Linked DNA regions of Notamacropus eugenii. The protein of the gene in region 3 binds, or shares a complex with, the protein of the main gene of each other region. Links are inferred from orthologs where the notes say so. Each region holds a gene or a part of one and is shown on either strand. Other genes may lie near its edges.

Evidence for each region.
Region 1: the proteins of BMP10 (region 3) and ACVRL1 are in contact, whole or in part, in a crystal structure (PDB 6SF1), measured with the Homo sapiens proteins. The link is inferred for Notamacropus eugenii from reciprocal best matches to the Homo sapiens genes BMP10 and ACVRL1. Residues at the interface, in NP_055297.1 of Homo sapiens: Tyr322, Asn357, Tyr358, Pro359, Ala361, Glu362, His363, Pro366, Thr367, Lys368, Ile371, Leu375, Leu378, Lys379, Ser381, Lys386; in NP_000011.2 of Homo sapiens: His40, Val54, Val56, Arg57, Glu58, Glu59, His66, Gly70, Asn71, Leu72, His73, Glu75, Leu76, Phe84, Val85, His87.
Region 2: the proteins of BMP10 (region 3) and BMPR2 are in contact, whole or in part, in a crystal structure (PDB 7PPA), measured with the Homo sapiens proteins. The link is inferred for Notamacropus eugenii from reciprocal best matches to the Homo sapiens genes BMP10 and BMPR2. Residues at the interface, in NP_055297.1 of Homo sapiens: Tyr329, Lys333, Asp338, Ser339, Trp340, Ile342, Ala343, Pro344, Pro345, Gly346, Tyr347, Glu348, Glu395, Pro396, Ile397, Ser398, Ile399, Leu400, Leu402, Val407, Tyr409, Phe411, Ala417; in NP_001195.2 of Homo sapiens: Asp38, Ser64, Tyr67, Leu69, Lys81, Cys84, Trp85, Ser86, Ile88, Gly89, Asp90, Pro91, Gln92, Glu93, Thr103, Thr104, Pro105, Pro106, Ile108, Tyr113, Phe115.

Annotation. Positions count from the first base shown.
Region 1 is NC_092874.1:224,311,821-224,318,695, forward strand, and holds the start of ACVRL1 (activin receptor type-1-like), read left to right. Parts: upstream 1-3,040; 5' UTR 3,041-3,838; intron 3,839-6,875. UniProt on the Homo sapiens protein: Type I receptor for TGF-beta family ligands BMP9/GDF2 and BMP10 and important regulator of normal blood vessel development. On ligand binding, forms a receptor complex consisting of two type II and two type I transmembrane serine/threonine kinases.
Region 2 is NC_092877.1:298,672,820-298,679,694, forward strand, and holds the start of BMPR2 (bone morphogenetic protein receptor type-2), read left to right. Parts: upstream 1-2,736; 5' UTR 2,737-3,480; coding exon 3,481-3,556; intron 3,557-6,875. Other genes in the region: uncharacterized protein, read right to left, coding at 2,053-2,736. UniProt on the Homo sapiens protein: On ligand binding, forms a receptor complex consisting of two type II and two type I transmembrane serine/threonine kinases.
Region 3 is NC_092872.1:632,853,853-632,860,727, reverse strand, and holds the start of BMP10 (bone morphogenetic protein 10), read left to right. Parts: upstream 1-2,659; 5' UTR 2,660-2,815; coding exon 2,816-3,149; intron 3,150-6,875. UniProt on the Homo sapiens protein: Required for maintaining the proliferative activity of embryonic cardiomyocytes by preventing premature activation of the negative cell cycle regulator CDKN1C/p57KIP and maintaining the required expression levels of cardiogenic factors such as MEF2C and NKX2-5.

The DNA of each region.
Region 1 (6,875 bases), on a different chromosome or scaffold from region 3:
ACCTATCTGTAAAATGGGTATAATAATGCTATGCATCTACATAGCTCACAGGATCATCATGGATAAATTATGCTTTAACTATACAAATTTGAATAATGATCCTTTATTAAAGATTATAGGAAAGAATAGGCAAGACAGTCAGGCCCTATCCTTGTTCACCAGCTCCAAAGAAGAACAATGCTTGGAGATCCCAAGATGTAAACAGTAGCTGGGAACAGAAGAGGAAGATGACTCACTGGCCCTTTGTCTGGCATCCCCTGTTGCAGGTCTACCAGTCCCTTCCTGAACTTCTAAGACCATTAACTTCTCCACTCTCTGCCCTTCCCCCACTCCCCCCATTCCAGTACCTTATACATCCTGTCAGCTGCAGAGAGAGGGGCTGGGGAAACCAGGGGGTGCCAGCTTGTCTGAGATAGATGACATCTAACGGGTCACTTCATCCATCCTTCTGCCTTGGAGTCCAGGACCTAAATCTCCCACATCTAAGTTTTTGTTCTCTGTGATAAAGAATCATCCTTCCTCATATTTCAGCCTTTCTCTCAGTCCCAGTTTCCAACTACCTGCCCCCAATCTTTAGCTCTTTCCTCTTTGGTCACAGGTCTTATTCTCAGTCTCTGTGTCCCTCCTCTGATTACTCCTCATGACCCCCAAAGCCTCCATATCCCTCTGACATTGTGAGGTCTAGGACCAGATACAGAAATCTCACCTGGTCTAGGATGGAGATTCTCCTTCTCTAGGTTACAGCACTTATTGGGAGGTTGGGGCAATTACAAGGTGGATAGCAGAGAGTAGAGGAGGAACAGTCAGCTAAAATAATGGTACATAGCCCATTAGGGACCTCTCTTGTCCTTGGTATCTGGCACCAAAGCTGTAAATTAGCCCTTGGAGAATGGAAAGAAGGAAGGAAGGAAAGAAGGAAGGAGGAATGAAAAGAAGGAAGGAAGGAAGGAAGGAAGGAAGGAAGGAAGGAAGAGAGCTTCTGCTGTCAAGGAGTTTACATTCTAATGGTGAAAAACATAACAGAAAGCTAGGAAAAGGGAGTGTAAGGAGATATGAGAAAGAAGTTTGGAGTATTGGGAGTGGAACTTGAAGAGGAAGGGGAATGTGAGCATGGTTGGCCTTGGGCCCTTCCTTAAAATGGAGCTTCTGGGAGGAACTGCTAGATCAGGGGAAGGGGCCCCAGGAATCTTCCTGGGTTGAGGTTTTCTGGAGCCTGGTAGAGAAAGAAGTCTGGAGAGTCAGAGCCTAGAGGAATGGAATTAGAGTCAAAAGAACTGAGTTCAAATCCTGGCTCCATTCCCTCTTTACTCTCTATAGAACTTTGGATAAGCTACATTTCTGTGGGCCTCACCTGTACAAGGAGGGGTTGGCCAAGAAGCTAGTTACTAACCAATTTGGATGACCCTGTCTAGCTCTGATAAGCTGTGAAATCTTCTCTGAGTCAGCGCCCTGAGTGACTGTGGATCATTGGTTCACACATTTCAAGCTGGACAAGGCCTCAGAGGTAGTCTAGTTCCAACACTTCTTTTTATATATGGGGAAAAGGCAGCCAAGAGAGCTTGAGAGACTTGTTTTCCGGGAGCTCACAATCTAGTTGGGACAATTACAGAAGACATCCTATAATTAAGGGCCAAGCTACTCTGATTAAAACACTAGCTGTTGTTAGTATTCAGAGGAGTGAGGGATCCATGAGACCTCCTCCACCCCTTGGCGATTTAGCCCCATCTTTGTTCCCCTTCCCTTCCTAATGCAAAGAGGACACAAGGAAATTTCCCATCTAATTCTGGCTACAAATGCTTTCTAATTCATCACCCCCCCACTCTACTCTGCCTCTATCATGCTCCAAGTCTGGACTCAAAATGACAACTCCCTCTCTACCCTCTCCCACCTCTCTAGCCTCAGACATGTATTTCCTAGGTTTTAAAATCTCACTTCCCAAGCTCCCTTGGGCCCCTGCTCCCCTGTCTCCTGCCTGACTCAACTGGGAAGTTCTTCTGCATGTCTAATCTCAGTATCTGCCTTTGGCCTGCTTCCTCCCTGGATATGGGGAACAGCTGGTCCCTCTGAGCAGTAAATCGTTGTAGACTTGGACACAGATTCTAATTCCTTTCCCCTTTCTTCAGAGGTCTGACTTTTAGCTCTTTCCCAATCCATGTGTCACTGAACAGAAGACTGTAAACTAGGTCAGCGATGGCTGATTAAAATGGAGAGAAGAGCAGAGACTCTGAATATCTCTCACCTCCCCACTCTTATCCCAGCCCTGTCCTTCCCCTTCAGACCTCTGATCTACTCTTCTCCAAAAAAGCCCTCCAGGAAGAGCCCTTCTGAAAGACTTTTCTTTCCCCTTTGCCCACCAGCTCCACTACCTTTAGATGCTTAGCATTCCGTCCTTGTTTCTCTCTCCCTGTTGCTTCTTGCCTTAATTTTTCCACTTTGATTTCTTTTTTCTTAACCCTTGCTATATCTCAAACAGGTTCTGGAAATTCATAGTCTTCACAACTGATAATAACATGTCAACAGAGGAAAGGAAGTCAGTCACCAAAGGAGCTGAGATAAAGCAGAAGCAACTCAATCCTTGCAACTGTTGCTTAGCCAGCTTGTGGTACCCTTTGATTCCCAGACCCTTCTCTACCATTACAAAGAGATGGCCCAATCCCACCTCATTTGGGGAACTCCATTTATTTTTTCCCCTTTGTGTTTCCTTATGCTCCTTTGATGAACCCCTTTCCCAACAATGGTGGAGAGCAGGGAATAGGAAAGGTTAGTCCCAAGAGGCTCACTCTGGTTCCTTCCCGGTGACTACCCCAAATTTGGAACGGACTCGTCCCAACAGGTATGTCTTGGCACAGACTTGAACAAACCCTTCCAACACCCTTGAGATATGACTTACAATTTCAGGCCTGAGCTACTTTTTCCAGAATCTCTCACTCCCCCACTGCTCAGCCTGGCTCCTAACCCTCTCACTGGGGACAGCCTTAAGGAGAGAATAGATTATAATCCATTTTTTTTAAGAGTTAAAAAGAGCATTGGAGAGTAAGTACTCCTCATTTTATAGGTTAGGATATGAAGCACAGACAAGCGAGCTAACTTGTCGGAGGTCCCAGAGCCGGGCTATTCGTTCCTTACACTGGGATGCTTGCCTTGAGCAGCAGAGGCTCTGGACCCCACTACCTCACATGGAGCAGCTGGGCTTTTGGAGCTGATGATGATTTGCATTTGGTGACTCCAGCCCCCAAAGCGGGGGCCCTACCCCCCCACTTCATCCCCATTCCCGAGCAAGGCCAGGGAGCTGGAGCCGGGGCTGGGCTGGGCTGGAGGGAGCAGCGGATGTGGGAGGTTTGTGGAGGGGGTGCGGGGGAGACCGGAGGGAATGGTCAGCTGGCGAGGAAGAGAGGGGAGGCGGCCCCATAAACAGGGAGAGAGCAGTCCCTGTAAACGCGTTTGGCAATAGGAAACGGTATATTACAGGGGAGGGAGTGGCGGAGTAGGGCCAGGCAGGAAGAAGCTGGAAGAAGACACTTTACAACTCCTGCCTGGTCTTTCCCGAGTGCCGGCGGGCCGAGCAAGCGGCCCCCAGGGCTCAGCGGGGCTGGAGAGGGGATCGAGAGCATCCCCACCCTATCCCCGGGCCCCCAAGGGCCCCAGGACCCCAGCGAGGGCCCGGCGGCAGAGCATCCGCAACTCAGATCCAGAGGAGGAGGAGGAGGAGGAGGAGTCAGGGGTGTCAGGGGCGTGGGAGGAGAGGAGCTGGCCTGAGTCCACACCTCCCCCTTGTCCGCCACCCCCCAAGTCCCAGGGCTGCTAGCCCTCTGGCTACAGCCTAGGGCAGAGCAGGGAGGTGAGTTGGGGTCAGCCCTTGGGGAGTAGGGAGGGGGAAAAATTCGCTGATTTCCAGGCGTGAAGCCCATATTGTGATTCCAGGATGGGATATCCCTATTCCCAGAAAACCTCGGCCTTATAATTGGAATTCCTATGACTTCCACTCCATAGGCCTAAACCTCTAATCCCTAGTCTATAACTCTGGTCCCCAACACATAGGGATCACTAGTTAAATAATGTTGTTTAGGTAACCCATAGGCTCTGAACTTCCCAAGATCATCCTTCTCAGTTGCACTATCTCACTCCCAAATCAGATTGCCAAACTACACCTTCTAGATTCCCCCTCCCCTGTTTACCAGCACCAATATGTTGATTTACTGATTTGCAAGGGTAGATGGGCTTTTCCAGTGAATAGATGCCTCTTATCTTCTAAAGCGTGGTCCTGGGACTGAGCTCTCTGGATGACCATGTTAGTTTCTTGAGTCTTTCTCCAACTCTCCTTTCTACAGACTTGGTGTGACCCATCTGTCCTCTAAATATCTGATCTCTTCATCACACCATTTCCCTCACTTTTTTTTTTTTTAGCACTTTTTGGTAACATGTCCCAGTTCTAAAGTGTATATAGTCTTTTCTGCATTGATTTAGTTGAACTTAATTATCTTTAAAGACCTACTCTGTGCAAGCTGCTGAGGGTACAAAGGTATGATATTAATCCTGCTTTTAAGGACTTTGTGATCTAAATGGGGAAGAGTGGAAGGACAATTATATAAGCAGCTATGATATAAGGGGGTGTGAGATAAGTGCAAAGGAGAATCCTGGTAAGGTGTCATGGGACACTTAAGGAGGAAAAGAATCAAAGGAGGTTGGGGGAGGGGGTGGGGACAGTCTCAGGGGAGATTTCTTGGAGGATGTGGCTTTGAAAGAAGAGGGGATTAAAAGGCTGGAGATAGGAGTAGAGGTATCCTTTTCAGGCATGGGGTATGATTAAGAGTGAAGGGACACAGATGAGAGCCAGCAGGTAGAGAATGGGAATGGAGAGTAATCTCATGAAGGAAAATAGTATGAGATAAAGACATGTGGTACAGATGTTGTAGGCAGAGGTGCCTATTATATAGGAACCAGATTAAAATGTAATTGGGGAATGTTTAACAAAAATAAATTAAAATACAATAGAACATAGATAATGTTAATTTGTGGTTTTCTAAGTCGATATGCCACCAACAGGAAGAATTATGCATGATTTAATAGTGAGTTTGCATCACTTTGCAAAGGACCTTAAATAACAGGGCCAGGAGGTTTTATTTTATTTGGTAGGTGATGGGAGCCACTGAAAGTTTTAATGTAAAGGAATAAACTGGAAGTATCCTGGGGACCTCAAGTAAGGCTGCAGAATCTTATCAGGAGTTCCTTTCTGTTCCATTGGCTCCAAAGGAGGTTTTTCTGAAATATTAAATCCCATGTATGTGGGCAGAATCAAGTTGGTCTCTACCACAAGTGATGACCCTTTCCAGGACTGGAAGTTCTGGCCTCTTCTTGACCTTTGTCTCAGTTAGGTCTTCCCCTAGATTTCAGGGCTCTTGATGGGTTGGACCCCCAATCTGACCCCATAACTCTAACCCCATAGCCACAACCCTTTTATTGCCAAAGGGAGTATGATATCTAAGTCAAGTCCTGACTTAGACATTTACTAGCTATTACCCTTTCTCACCTTCAATTTCCTTATCTTTAAAATGGGAAATGGGAAAAGATGATCTTGGCTCTAAATTCTATGCTCCTATGGCCCTCCTTAAGAGACAGTCCTTTAGGGGGCCAGCATTTCTGTTTTTTTCTTCTGACTCTCCTGTAAACCCATTCCCTGCCATCTTGGGACACTCCCCTTACCCTACTCTCCCTGACCACCTTGGCTCTGTAGACCAACATCTACTGTGCATACTGTCTAGACCATTATACTTCCTCCCTTTTCCTGAAGAGATGATAATATATGCTTGTTTGGGCAAATTGATCTTTCTCTAAGGGCAGTTTAGGACTCTACCCAGAAAGGACCATGTTGTACGTCTACTTAGATGATGAAATCTGTTTCTTCTTTCTTCTGTTTAGTAATTAGCCCTACCCAGTGCCATATCGTGTTGTAAGGTTTTCCCTTCTTTGACTCTGGCACTCTCAGGTGAGGGATGATCTAAAGGGAGGAAGAAATATGGAATCATAGTTGGTCATATCCAAGTCTTCTGCATTTTGCCTCCATAACATCTCCTGCATCTGAACCTTTCTCTCCATTCCCATGGCCCCTACCCTAGTTGAGGACCGCCATCATCCTAGTATGATTGCAGCAGCTTTTTAATGAGGCTCTCTGCTTCCAGTTTCTTCCTTTCTCCAATACACGTTTCATAGAGTTTGCAAAAACAATCTTCCTAAAGTACAGGCCTTATGTTTGCTCAAAAATACTCTAGTGGGTCCCTATTTCCTCTGGGATAAAAACTAACTCCTCCAACTAGCATTTCAGCCCTCCCCACTCTGGCTCCAACATGCCTTTGTAGAGATCTCATATTACCCCCTTTCACTCATTGTACAGTCAAGCCAAACTGGCCTGCTAGTGTTCCCAAAATTCCATCTGCTGTCTTTGTGCCTTCCCACAGACCTTCCCCCATGTCTGGAATGTGTTCCTTCCTCTTCTCTGCCTCTGAGAATCCTTAGCTTCCCTAAACTAGCCTGGTATAGTGGATAGAGGGCTGGACTCCAATCCTGCCTCAGTACCTGGGGCAAATCACTTCACCTGTGTGGGACTTGATGACCTCAAAGGTCCCTTCTAACTGTAAAGGTTTAGTCTGCCTGAAGGGGTGAATTGAGAGTGGATCTTCCATGAATACTCCTCCAGTTTCCCCAATGTGCTTTTAGCCACTCTGAGAAGCACTGAGGGGTAGTGGAAATACTTCTGGAATTTCAGTCAGCAAGTTAGGATCCCACAAAGATTCTATAGAGCCTAGGTGTACTGGGAATGTTTAACAACATTGTGTGTGTGGGTGTGGGTGTGTGGGTGTGGGTGTGGGTGTGTTGGGGGA
Region 2 (6,875 bases), on a different chromosome or scaffold from region 3:
CTTGGCAGTTTTCCCTGAGCCACTGAATCCCCTTTTGACCACTTCAACCTTGAGCTTCATTTGGAACTGGCAGAACTTCACTGAAAAATGGGTATTGACCCCGACAAGAGAGCTGTTAGATAATGTTTAGCCTCTAAAGCAGTCCATGTGCCATCCGTAGCTTTTCCTTTCATCCCTATTCCAGAGACTTGGGTGGAAGGTCCCTCTTAAACTTCCCATCTCATGGGGCTAATACTACTTTACACGTACGTCCTTTTATACACAAGTAATAACAGCCATTATGATACTAATGTTTGGATAAAGGGTATGTGGTTCTATAGAGAAAGACTTCTAGCAAACACCATGCTACAAAAATGTCTGGGAACCCAGGCGGAGCTGGCATTTCCTTTACCTTGCATCACTGCAGTATACGATGCCAGTTTCACCAGGAGCTACAATGACTTGAATAAAATAATATTTATGTAAAAAGGTGTTCAGATGAGGGAAAGCTGTGGATTAAGAGCAGAGGGTTGGAGGTTCATTAAATAGTGCCTACATGTTTTTGTAACTCCTCGAGGCTCAGAGCATGGACCTGCCAAACCTGCCTCGGGAATAACTCCAGCGCTCCAGGGGAAAAGAGAAGGCTGGACGGGGGAACGCCTCCCCCTTGCCCTCCTACGCAGGCTCTTCTCCCGCAGGCGGAGTGCCAGCTGCAGACTGCTTCCGAACATGGCGAGACTGGGAGCTCGCGTCACCGGGCTCCGAGCCCCTCCCCTTCCCTGAAACAGCCCCCCACCCCCACCAGCGTCTGCGTCTGCCGCAGCGGGCTGTTTGGGCTCCTGGTGGGAGGAGGCAAAGAAACATCCTCTCCTAATCCTTGCTGTCTGGGTACAAGCAAATGGAAAAAATGGGACCATCCAAATGGGACTTTCGCAGTTCTCCAGACTTGAGGCAGGTCATGCAAAAGGCATAATTAAAAAAAGAAAAAAATGCATTAGAAAAGCAACCTCTCCATGGTCTGTTTTTAAAGTCTTCCCTCCTCCCCCTCCAGTGAATTGTAAAGGAGCCATAGTAAAAATAGCTAGCACTTTAAAGTTTGCGAAGCGCTTTTCCAGTATTATCTGTCCTAATCCCCATACACCCTCCCATCCCCATTTCATTGATGAGTAAACAGCCAGAAGTGAAGTGAAGTGTCTGAGGTCGTATTTTGAACTCAGGTCTTTCTGATAAAGAGATTGGGAATGTCGTTTTGGGAAAATGAAGGGCTGGAGTGAGAGTGCTCAGGTTTAAACACCACCTCTGATGCTTAATGCTCCTTTGACAAAGGCTGCCTGGAGCAAAGGGAAGTGAAGCGACTTCCAGCTTTGTGGGTGGGGGATAGCCTGTGCCAGACCCTTCCATGCAGTACAAAGCTTTATTCAGCATCCGTGGGACCGGCTGGGAGGACAGCGCTTTAGAAGCCAGTTGTTCCACGAGGTCTCTAGGGGCTATCAGGAAGGGTTTGGAAGATGGAGAGAGTATTTATGGGAGAGCATTTTGGGGTTAGGAGGAAAATAGGTTGGCTTTGTTTTGCTGAATTTGTTCGCTTTTCTTTAAATCAGGAAAGGATACATACAGGAAGACCAAGCGCTCGGATTCCCAGGGAGAATCGAGTCCAGCTCGTAATTCAATTCTCTCTCTCTCTCTTTTTTTTTTTTTTTGGTACCTGGGACTACAACTCCCAGGTAGGCCACCTTTCTCCCCGAGAACCAATGAACTAAGAGGACCCTCCCAGAGTACACTTCTATGAGCCAATCGTCGAGGGGAGAGGCGGAGATTGGGTGAAAATCACTGCTCCCAGAAGTTCGCAGAGCTCTTACGAGAAAATGTTATCGCGCTTTCCCCTTTCTTTTCCCTCCCTACGCGCACATACACACACACACGCGCACACACACCAAACTGAACGTGCAACAAGCTAGTGTAGAAAGGGGATGTGTGTGCGTGTGTGCTGCTAGTTTTGACCCTAGTTCCCATCCCCCGCCCAAGTTCCAGGCTCTAGACTAGTGAAACCCACCGGAAAGGGGGAGGGTTCACTCACTCCCAGTTCGAGGCTCGAGGGAGGGGCGGGGCTAGGTGGGGCTCGCGAGGCCGCGCAGCCGCAGTGGTGCTCCTCCGTAGCCGCCGCCGCCGCCGCCGCCGCCACCACCACCCGGGCTCGACCGCAGGCTGGAGACAGACGGGGCCGAGAAGAGACAGAGACTGAGGAGGAGGTGGAGGAGGGGGCGGGGCGACGCCCGGTGACCGGAGCGCCGCAGACTGGCAGCTGCAGCGTCTCCCCCCTTTGTGTCTGGTCTGCTCTGGTCCGAGGCTCGCGAGCTGCTCTCTCCGCCGGGGTGCGGTGTGTCTAGGTGCCCCCTCCCCCTCCCCGGGCGCCTCCATCCCCGCGCCGCCGCCCCCTCCCCCCACGAGCCCCGCGGGGAGCGGGCGTCGAGGAGCCGCAGCCCCAGCCTCCGCAGCGGGAGAGCCGAGCGAGGAGGGCGCGGGGCGCGACCCGGCGGCGGCAGCCCCGGCTTCCTCGGGGGGCGGGGGGGGCGACGCTGGGGGACCGCTGACGGGAGGAGGAGGCGACGACGAGACCCGGACGGCGGGGGAATGGACCTCGGAGCGGCTCGCGGAGCCGCGGTCCCGGGACTTGGAGCGTAAAAGGAGGCGGCCCAAGGAGAAGAAGAGGCCGGGGGGACCCCGTCCGGCCTGCCCTCCTCCCTCGGTCCCTGGCATTCGCACGCGCCGGGGGCTTACTGGTTTCGGTTCGGCGGCCCGGGCGGATCATGGGGGGAGTCACCTTTGCGCATCTCGTCCGCCTTGAAATCGAAGTGATTTGAAGCGAAACTTCCTTAGGAGGGACGTGCCCCCCACCCACGGAGCCGGCCTGTTCCCCTAGCCCCCCACCACGCACCAGGAGCGGGAGCGGCGCGCGATGCGGCCTGGAGCCCCGGGCTTGACGCCACCGCCGGCATCGCCCCTTCCCCACGCAGGGAAGTTGTAGGGGCGACGTTGTAGGGGCTCCCCCCGCCCCCCTCGGTCTGCCTCGGAAGACCTCCCCCTACTCGCACCTGCTCCCTGGCTATGTTTCCTTCCAAACCGGGCTCATTTTTCGATATTGTGAAACTACGTGGGAAAGCATCGTGGTGATTCCGCAGACGCCCCCGGCCCCCACCCCTCTCCACCTCTCGGTCCGGAGCATGCATCCTGTTTGGAGGGCACAGCCGCGCGGCCCCCCTGGCCTGAACCACGTCCGAGGAGGAGAGAAATGAAGGGAATGTTCTGCAGTGGAGTCCCAGCTCTGCAGACGGGTCCTTTAAGCATCTGCTGTTTGTCCTTTCAAACTGCATTGTGAGAATTCCAAGCAGGAACATCAAGATAACTCAAAACGGGAAAAGGAGGGGGGGATTCCTCCTGCCGGCGCTTCTCCCTTTCTCTCCTATTTTCGTGACCCTCTTTGGCTCCGTGGCTTGCCCAGGTATGACTGCCCCTCTGCAAAGCCTCGGGCCGCTGCTGCTGCTTTCCTGGACGGTGTTGCTGATCAGCACTGCGGCTGGTGAGTAGCCTCTGGGTGCTGTTGACTAGCCAGCTATTTCCATCTGGGGTGGGGGAGAGAAGGGGCAGGGCTGGCATTTAACTGAGCGTGTGATCGAGGAAAAAGCAGGCTGTCTGCTGTCCCAGTCAAGGCGCCGATGCGGATCGAATAACTATTTCGGGGAGAAAAACTGTATAATAATTGCATACGTTTTTCCATTCAGTCAACTGGAATTTAATCACTTAACATATTGGTGTTATTTATACATTTCTCTTGGTATTTTTTCCCCAACTAGGAAAAAAGCATAGTGGGTGTGGTATCATGACATTTTTAGCTGTGAGGTAATGCGAGAATTAAAAATAATGTTTTAATCACCACTGAACTGTGTGTGCCATTATGAGATCTTTGGGAATAGAGCTTTCAGTTTTCAAAGACGCAGATTTATGTTTAAAGCTTGGCATTTTTATTACAGCGTATGCAGGACTATTAATTTTTGAATTTGGAACATTTTTGGGGGGAATGTTGTTAGCTCCAGATTACTCGTGTTATTTTCATATGTTCCTGAGTGGCTAGATTAGATGATGATGAGCAGATCTGTGATGTTCTTCAGGTGTTGTAATACTATTAATTGCTGGTCTTTTTGGACAGACAAGCATGTCAGGGATTAATTCTCTGAAGCTGGTAAACTCGTTCCCCATATTTTCCTGTATTTTTAGGGTTGCTGTTGGACAGAGATATTTTCTGACATCACTTTCCAGTCACTGAGACAACTTTAAGAGTGTGAGTCTTGTGAGACTTGAAGTATTACTGTAGTTTATGAGTTATAGCAGTCACCCCTCCTTTTTAGACATGCTATTCCTCCAGTTTGTGGAAATCTTTCAGTGTTTTATCCATTGCTTGGAAGACAAAATATAGAACTATTTTATGTAATCAGTTACTCATCTTCACTATCGAACCGTACTTATAATATTGTCTCTGTTTAAAAATAGCATACAGATTACTAATTTAACCACAAGGAAAATTTGACAATGTTTCCATACATACGGTAACGTTGTGTGAGCTTCTTGATAAGCGCAGGGTGTGCTTCCTTGTTTTCCATTTTTTAAAAAGGGCCTGCTTCGAGAAAGATTGCTTGTTAACAACACATGTTATAGTGACTTTTGTGCCTAGGATATTTTGATGTTGCCTTTTACTTTTAGGATGAATATGTTTATAATATAAAAATAATTTGGTATTTTCAGTTGAAAATATTTTAAAACTCAGTATTCAGTGTAATAGATTAATTATTTTGCCTCCTTATTTATCTCTTTTAGGGAACAAATAACTTTTTTAAAATTTCTTTGTGACTATGTTAGGTAGTGAAACATCCTTCATATGTAGCATTTTAATCTACATATGGAAGCTGCATATGTTAAATGCAAAATTTTAAAAAAGTAAATGGCAGTGATTTTCCAGCAAGGTGCAGTGGGAAACAGACATCATGGCTTTCAGCATTTTTATGTCAGCATTTTTGTTGTGCCTGCGGCTGTACTGGAATGTAAATTCAATAATATGTAGCATTTATATAGCATTTTACTTTTTGCAAAGTGCTTTACCTGTTACTTCCTTTGATTTTCCTAACATGCTATTTCAGTTGATCCGTATTAGGCACTATTATTATCCCCATTTTACAGGTGAGGAAACTAAGGCTCAGAAAGGTTAAGTGGCTTGACCAGGATCACTCAACAAATAAGTAACTAGTACTGGTAAGTTAGGATTTGAATTCAGACCCTCTCAACTCCAAGTCCAAGGTCCTAGTCACTATGGTAGTCTGCCTCTCCAATGAAATCATTCGTGATATGACCTCCATAGAGTAGGATAAAATTATGGATTTAAACATTATTTTCTATCTCTAATAATAAAAGTTTTTAGAATGATAACCTAAAAAGAGTTTGGGACTTTTTTTGTTGCCATTTAAATCATAGCTTGTGGTGTAGGTATAGTGAATTATAAAGTTTGACTGGTTTAATTCACAAAAAACCCCCAGCATTTTTAATTATGTTTCTTTAACTAGTGTAGCATTTCTCAATCTTTTCAGTGCTAGGACTCCTTTTTAATGTCAGAATATTTCATGGATTTCACATACACACACGTGTACACACACCCCTTCCCATGACTGGAGTTGTGGAAAATACATAAGACAATCTACTATGAACTCAGTAACACCTTTAAATGAATTTGCATCTTATTAAGTACATACATTTGAAAAATAGTACTACCTGTGTTGTGAGATGTATTCTGCTTACGTGTTTATTTATGAATTCATATGTCCTTCACAAAAAACTTGAGAGACCTTTTTGGCTTACAGGTTGGGGAGTTACTTCTCTATTTACGTTTTGAAGAATTCAAAATCTGCTCAGGTAAAGATATACAAAACTGAATTTTTGAAGGATATGTATAATAGAATTAAGAACTCTTGCTAATCGCTGATATGTAGAATATTTCATTACTTTTGCTCTGCCAGCTTTGGGAAGGCACTTGATTAGGGTACCTGGTGTTCCTGTGGTGTGAAAGGACCTTTACCCAGTACTGTCTGCTAGGCTGAACTTTCACACTTTGGTATTACCTTTGGTGGAGTGGTGAGCTGCTCCTATTCCTCATAGGCTTACAGATCATAGAAAGGTGCCTTGGAGGTCAGCTGTGCCAACCTCCTCATTTTACAGATGAGGAAACTGAGTCGAGGGGAGATAAAGTTACTTGCTGAATGTGAGTTCTCTTACTCTGGAACCAGCACTGATAGGCACTGCCCCCACATTGCATCCTCCCCTTTGGAAAGTGGTTGTCTTTTCAGGTGAACAACATTATGACCTCTGATACTATCTCTCCTCAGTCTTTCCTGTAGTTTCTGTTTATTTGATATTTCACTTTCTACCCATCCTGACATAGTCAAAGTGTACTTCAAGTTAAGAACACCTGCTTTCAGAAAAAATTGAGACCATCTTATGAGGAGCTTCCTTAACTTTTCTTTCTCCCACTTCAGATCACTGTCTTGATTTCTCCATGTCCTGGCCAGGCCCCTTGCCTTAAGTCGGCTTGCCCTTTTGTTGTCTTCTGCCATTAGAATGTAGCTCCTTGTGGGTAGAAACTATCTCCTTGTATATATTTGTGTCTTCAGCACATAACTAAATACTTAAGAATCTCTCTCTCTTTCTCTCTCTCTCTCTCTCTCCTTCCTCCGTTCACCCTTTTCTCTTCCCCTCCTCCCCTCTTTTTCCTTCTTTCTTCTACACATAAACACATCCTATGCATGCCTTTGATCCCATTCCCTCTACCTTCCCCCTTGCTTCAACATTCATCCCTT
Region 3 (6,875 bases):
GCCTCTCTGTCATTATCTCCCTATCTCTGTCTGTCTTTCTCTATGCCTCTACATTCCTCTATTTCTGCCTCTGCTTCTGTCTATGTCTCTCTCTCTCCCATGACCTGGAGAGACAGCTCACTCCACTTAGCAGTGAAGCCCCTCACACATCTGTCCTATGGAGGCCTTCTGCATCTGCCTGCCATTCAGCTTGTTGAAGTGTGTGTTGACATGCCTCTGTTTGTTGAAGAGAGTTGGGTGCTTGTTTTGATGCAGACCAGGATAACCAAGGCCTGGCTGATGTGCTGTCAGAAAGCTCCATGTGAAAATGTTAGCACCACTGCAACAAGGACCAGTCCTGGGTTCCAGGAGTGTGGCTATTCTGAGCCCCTCCTATTGACAGTCTATAACTGACTTTTTTTTTTAAATAGTAATGACAGGATTGAGGTCTAAGGCTACTGAAGAGACTTTCACCAGAGAATTTCATTTGAACCAATATCTGTAAGTACTAAGGACTTAGGGAGTAATCTCAAGGAATGGATACTCTACAATATCATGAACAGAGATCAAAAAGGGCAGACAGCCTACAGAGTTGGAGGGCAGGAAGAGGAATTGGAAACTTGGTCAGAGAGAGAGACAGACAGACAGATAGAAAGACAGACACAGAGAAACAAAGAGAGACAGAAGCAGAGAGATGGAGAAAGAGAGAGGGAGGGAGAAAAATTAATTCAACCATGCAATTTCTTCTTTCCCTTGCCTTCATTATAGCCAATGAATTTGCTAGGTCAGTCGTTCAAATGTTTTAGAGAGTTCAAAAGATCTTAGATTTAGGACTAAAAGGGGCCTTAGAAGTCATCCAGTTCAATTCCCTCATCTTACAGAATAGGAAATAGGTTCATGAGGTTAAGTGACTTGCTCAGAGTTCCACAATTAGGAGGTGTTTGCAGCAAGGTTAGAACCTAGGTCTTCCTGACTCCAACTCTGCTATCCCTAAGCTATTGTTTGAACCATATTATATGAGCCAATGAGGTGTCATGGAAAGACTCGTTCATCTGAATCCAAGTCCAGGTTATTCCATGTAGATCTTGTGTGACTTTCTACAAGTGACTTCTGCTCTCATCAATTTCCTTATCTGTAAAATGAGGGGACTAGACTATGTGATCCCTAAGGTAGCTCTCTTTCAACTCTAAATTCTATGAACAAGGGATTCTCAGTCAAGATTTTAGAAGAATTAAGAATCAGAGCTGATGTTTCACTTCTAACCCAGCATCTTTCCTATAGGCATCCTCCTGGCTCTGTTCATCATCACTGGTTCAGGGACAACCTAATAGGGCTCCAAACAAACACCATGGTAGACACGGCCCCCTGAATAAGTCCTAGCCTATTTCATCTTTGTTCTCTAAACATGTGCGTTAACAAGATTAAAACTTTTGGTTGTTGAGGGGTGAACATTTAGTCCCTCCAAGATTTCCTCCTATTTATCCTGTTTATAGCCCATATGTAAATAGTTGTTTGCAGGTCATTTCCCCTATTTAGTGACTAGTTTTGCCTTTTGTTATATCTCTAGTGCTTAGCAGAGTGCCTGGCACATAGTAAGGGCTTTAAAAATGCTTCTTGACTGACTAACAGGCAGGTAATAAAGCTTCCAATCAAATAAACACTAACAGGCATTCATGAGTGCTTTGGTGCTATTTAATTTACGATTGTTCTCCTTTTGATTTTCAAGTTCAAGTCTCTTTTTATACCTAAAAAGCATGTCGACTTTCAAAACAATTTTCAAGAAGTTTGCATTAGCTCAGTGATGATGGATGTTTGGAGGTTTTTCAGAAATGTGTAAGGGTCACTATTTTAAAAAATGAATTTGTGTGTAGTGTTGACTTTGTTTAGACCCAGGCAATTCCTGAAGGGCAATGACTAAGGCATGGAGGGGTTGAGAACTGGGCCAGTGGAGAAGGGGTCCAAAGCAAGGAAATCCTGGATCCTTGCAGGAACAAGCTAAGTAAGGGTGACTAGCATCCACTAAGGTCCTCTTCTAATGTCTCACTGTGGTTTGGAGGTAAACATGGGCTTTCCACGGCCATGCCAGCAGCAGATAAACTCTGGCCACCACTGGTGAAGCCAAATGACATTGCGTACAGAAGGACAATGGATTTAGGTATCTATTATTGGAGGACCAACCCTGCTAATTGTGGAGAAGCTCACAACCAGACAATTAGCTATAAAGAAATGACCATCAAAAAATATCTTCTAAGTCATAAATAGGTCAAGATCTGTGTCAATGGACAGGGTGTCAGTATGTACAAAATCGCAGTTCCTGTAAGTATTGAAATAAGAAGTGAGTTAATTTTTGACAATCCTTACGTTCTTGTGCATGACAATCCATTCTTCTCTGTGAGCTAGAAATGTTTAAGATCAAAAAGTGTCCATGTCCGCTGAGAGAGACTACTTGAAAGGAAGCAAGACAGAGCCCTTTCAAGAAGAAAATTGTCCTATCTTCTCACCAGTGTCAGAATGTAGAAGTGTTTACAAAATGCTCATTAAAAGAAAAAGGAATTGGGAGATAGCTACAAAATCTGGTGCACAAGTTTACACTAAAGAGATAAGAAAGGCTAGGCTCCCATAGGCGATCCTGCTGTCCAATTAAAGCAACCTGGCTTTTTTTGGGGGCAGAGGAGGAACAGAAGGGAAAGAGACGGACAGAGTGAGGGAATGCTTCTAAAAGAGTTTCCAAACTTGGCAACTCCGGATGACATAAGTCAAGTCCTCTCCAGAGGATTCGGACCACTCGGACCACTGACACCTAAACTTCACTGGGCTTGGGGGCTTGAGCAAAGTCATGGGCTCCCAGCTCCTACCACTCTACACAGTCCTGTGCCTGGGAGCCTCCTTGGGATCTGGCAACCCCATCATGAGTCTGGAGGACTCTCCCCTGGAAGAAGAGCTGCCCCTGCTGGATGATGTTTTTTCAGAGCAAGATGGTGTTGACTTTACTACTCTGCTACAGAGTGTGAAAAATGAATTTCTGAAGACATTGAACCTGTCTGAAATCCCCCTGCCCAATTCGGCCAAAGTCGACCCACCAGAGTACATGTTAGAGCTATATAACAGATTTGCCACTGATCGAACTTCAATGCCATCTGCAAATATCATTAGAAGTTTCAAAAATGAAGGTAAGTTTGGGCTTTTGCTGTTATAAGTTCAACTAAATTTTTAAAAAATAAAAACCTACATATATATATATGTATATATTATATATGTATAAATTTACACGCATAGGGTGGTGATAGCAATTAGGCCTTGGATTTTACTGGTGTAAGCAATTCCTGGATGAGAAAACTCTCTCTACCAATAGAGTTCTGTATCTTCTCTGCAATTGATTGTCGTAGTTTGTTGTTTATCTATCCTCACGACTAGGCACTTTGCCATGCACATAGTAGGTGTTCAATAAATATTTGTGGATGGAGTGGAACCAAAATTATTCACTGAATCACATGGCCTTAGAATTCTACTTATAGTGCTCTGAAAGGTTGTGACTTGTACAGGATCACACAACTAATATATGTCAAAAAAGGGTCGCACTCATGTCTCCCTGGTTCTGAGGATGTTTTTCTATCCAGTAGGCCAGTACATGTGTGTATGTACATGTGTGTATATGTATGCATTTATATTATATTGTATATATGTATGCTGTACGTAGAAAATAAGTATGAAAAAATACTACAAATTCTTGCTGGCATGTTATAGACTTGCATATGCAGTTATATATAGACATCAATATTATGTACATATATTTGTGTATGCATGTACACTGTATTGAAATAAAAAAATACAAATACTGTAAGCCCGTGATACCATATATACTTACAAATGCATTATATGTAGAATCAATATGTATATATGTGTGTACACACTACATGTATACATTGTGTGTATGTATATATACTGTATATTTTTATATAGTGTACATATACATACACCATGTATCTTATACATATACACATACACTGGATGTTTATAAACGCACACACATACATATACCTGTTGATGTCTATACATAATATAAATGCATATGCAAGTCTAGAAAGTGCCAACAAGGATTTTTTCATGTCGTTTTTATCCAGATCTTTGCAGAGATGTCCCAGTTGGCCTTTCTATCTGACACCATAGCACTACATCTGAAGTGGGCTCATTTTCTTCTGATCAGATCACCATTTTCTGTTTGAATGCCTTTACACACAAACAGGCCATACCCCGTCTGTCAGTCTGCCTCTAAGTTCTCACTGCCACTCAACCTTTTTTACTGGCTTCCGTGTGTCGGTTTAGCGTAAGGAGGAAATTCTGAAAAAACAGACATAACGCAGGATGACGTGACAGTCTTATTTTGCATTTATATTCAAGAAGAGTTGCAACAGCGTAGAAAAGAAAGGGGCCACTATATTAAATTAGCTAGTAAAGGGTTAAAATGTCTCCACACACTGCAGAAAGAACTTTCTTCCCCATGATTCGGCCAATCCTGAATGAGCTGTCTCCTTCCCCCAATTTTTTGGTGATAATTTATGTTCTTACTCCCTTGTACTCTATTGTAACCTACCTTACATGCCACTTATCTGTCCTCGTGGGTGCCTCAACTAATAAGTTCTACAAGCTCCATGGAATCATTGATTTGGAGCAGGAAGGGCCCTCAGAGGCCAGCTAATTTACATGAATTTTACAAATGAGTAAACTGAGGGACAAGGAAATTAAGTGACTCATCCAAGGTCTCCCATTGTTGAGATAGAGTCCATGTTGTCTCATTCAAACGCTAATTCTCTTTCCACTCTACCAGCATTCCTCCAAGAGACTGTGCTGGAGTTGTTGGGGTTTTCTGTTGTTTGTTCATCTATCCTCAGGACTAGGCACTTTGCCATGCACATAGTAGGTATTCAATTAATATTTGTAGAATGGAGTGGAACAAAATTATTCACTGAATCCATGGCCTTAGAATTCTGTTTATAATTTCTAATTAAATACAGAACTTATTCCTATTGTTCCTTATAAATTTTACTATCTAGCAGAGCTTCCTAGGTAATGGACAGGGCATCGAAGGACAGGTTAACATGGCTTTGTCCAGACAGTTGTGATATTATGCTTTTCTGTAGCAATATTCCATCACACATTGGGCTATAGTTTGCTTTATTTGTGCAGTCTTCTTCATAGATCATAGATTTTGAGCTGAAAGGGACCTTGGAGATCATGTTATTGTCCAGCGCCCTCATTTTATCAATGAGAGAGACTTACAGAAAGTCACACAGGTAGAAGGTCTGGGTCCTTCTGAGCCCAAGTCCATCGTTCTTTCCATCTCTACCACGTGAACTCTTTCCAACGTACCAATATAGTTTAAGCTCAACTCTATTCATTTCTGTTGTTGTTTGGGTCTGGGATTTCATTGATATAGAGAACTTTCTGGTATGGAAACTCTCAAAACCAATGTAGCTCAACAGCTTACTTATACATTAGAGATAATGACGTATGGTAGATGTTTAGGAACCAGCTCTCTGGGAAAAACAAAAAAATGAACATATCACACACTTGTACTTTTAATCTTCACCATTAATATTTCCTCCATCACTTTCTTAAGTCTGGATAATCACCAAAACAATAAATCAAGCCTGGATTGGAAGGGTTGGATGATTTTTCACAATAGACCAGCAGGTTTGAGCTGGGCTCCAACACATTCTTGTCTACAGAATTGCCTAGAAAACTAAGAGCATTAAGCGACTCACCCATCCACGATCATACAGCTAAAATGTGTCAGAAACAGGCTTTGAATACAATTCTTCCCCCACTCCAAGGCTAGCCCTTGACCCACTATGGCCCATGATCTCTCAGTGGTCTTTTCCAGAACTAAATCTGTGACTCTGTGACCTATATTCATACCCATCAAACCAGATATTATGTGATTCAAGTGTATTTATTGATTAGGCTCACATAAGTTTATTTTTAAAAGATTTATTTTACACTTCCAATGTCTTTCATAAAACATTACACACACACACACACACACACACACACACACACACAAAATGCATTCTATTTGCTACTTCCTTTAAGTTTTTCTAGAACTTTAGCAAAAAACAATTCCGCATTCACTAACTTGTGAAAGGAGACAAATGACATTCACATTTATAGAGACAGTACACAGGCAAGTACAAACTCAGTAATCATCTCCCTCCAGAACCTATTCTGGAGTGCTGCCGCATACCTCTGTGCTTATTCCTAAGGACTCCTGATCTGCTGAGAGACTGGAGAGTGCCATCATTCATATCCATGCATGAAAAAGAGCCCCTTGGCCATCCACAGTTCTCATTGTTAGGTCTAATGTTCCAGTGAAAAACTAGAAGCAGCCTCAAAGTCCAACTGTGAGAGAATGATTAAATAAACTGATATATTCATGGAGTAAAATATCATCATTAAGAACAAGTATGAGGGGTACAAAGGAATCAGGAAGGAATTTTTTTAAATGATACAAACTGGGGAAAAAAGCAGAACCAGGAAAATGGAGAACATTATTATGAGTATAAAAGAAAACATGCACATCAGACAAAATGATCAAAGACCACTAATGGAGTCTTAGAGGATGTGTAGCAGAAATAGTTCTGAACTTAGAGGTAGAGGACATGGATTTGAATCCCAAGTCTACCACTTGCAACCTATGTAACTTTGGATTAATCGCTTTATTTTGGGGGCCTCAGTTTCCTTATCTGTAAAATAAGAGGATTAGACTTGATGATCTCTAAGGTCCCTTCTATTCAAAATCTATGAAACAAAACTGAGTGGCTATGTCATTTTATGCATTCAAATCCTCTTATTTCAATGGAAATCGTTTCAAAATTAGTCTAACCTACTGAACGTTTAAA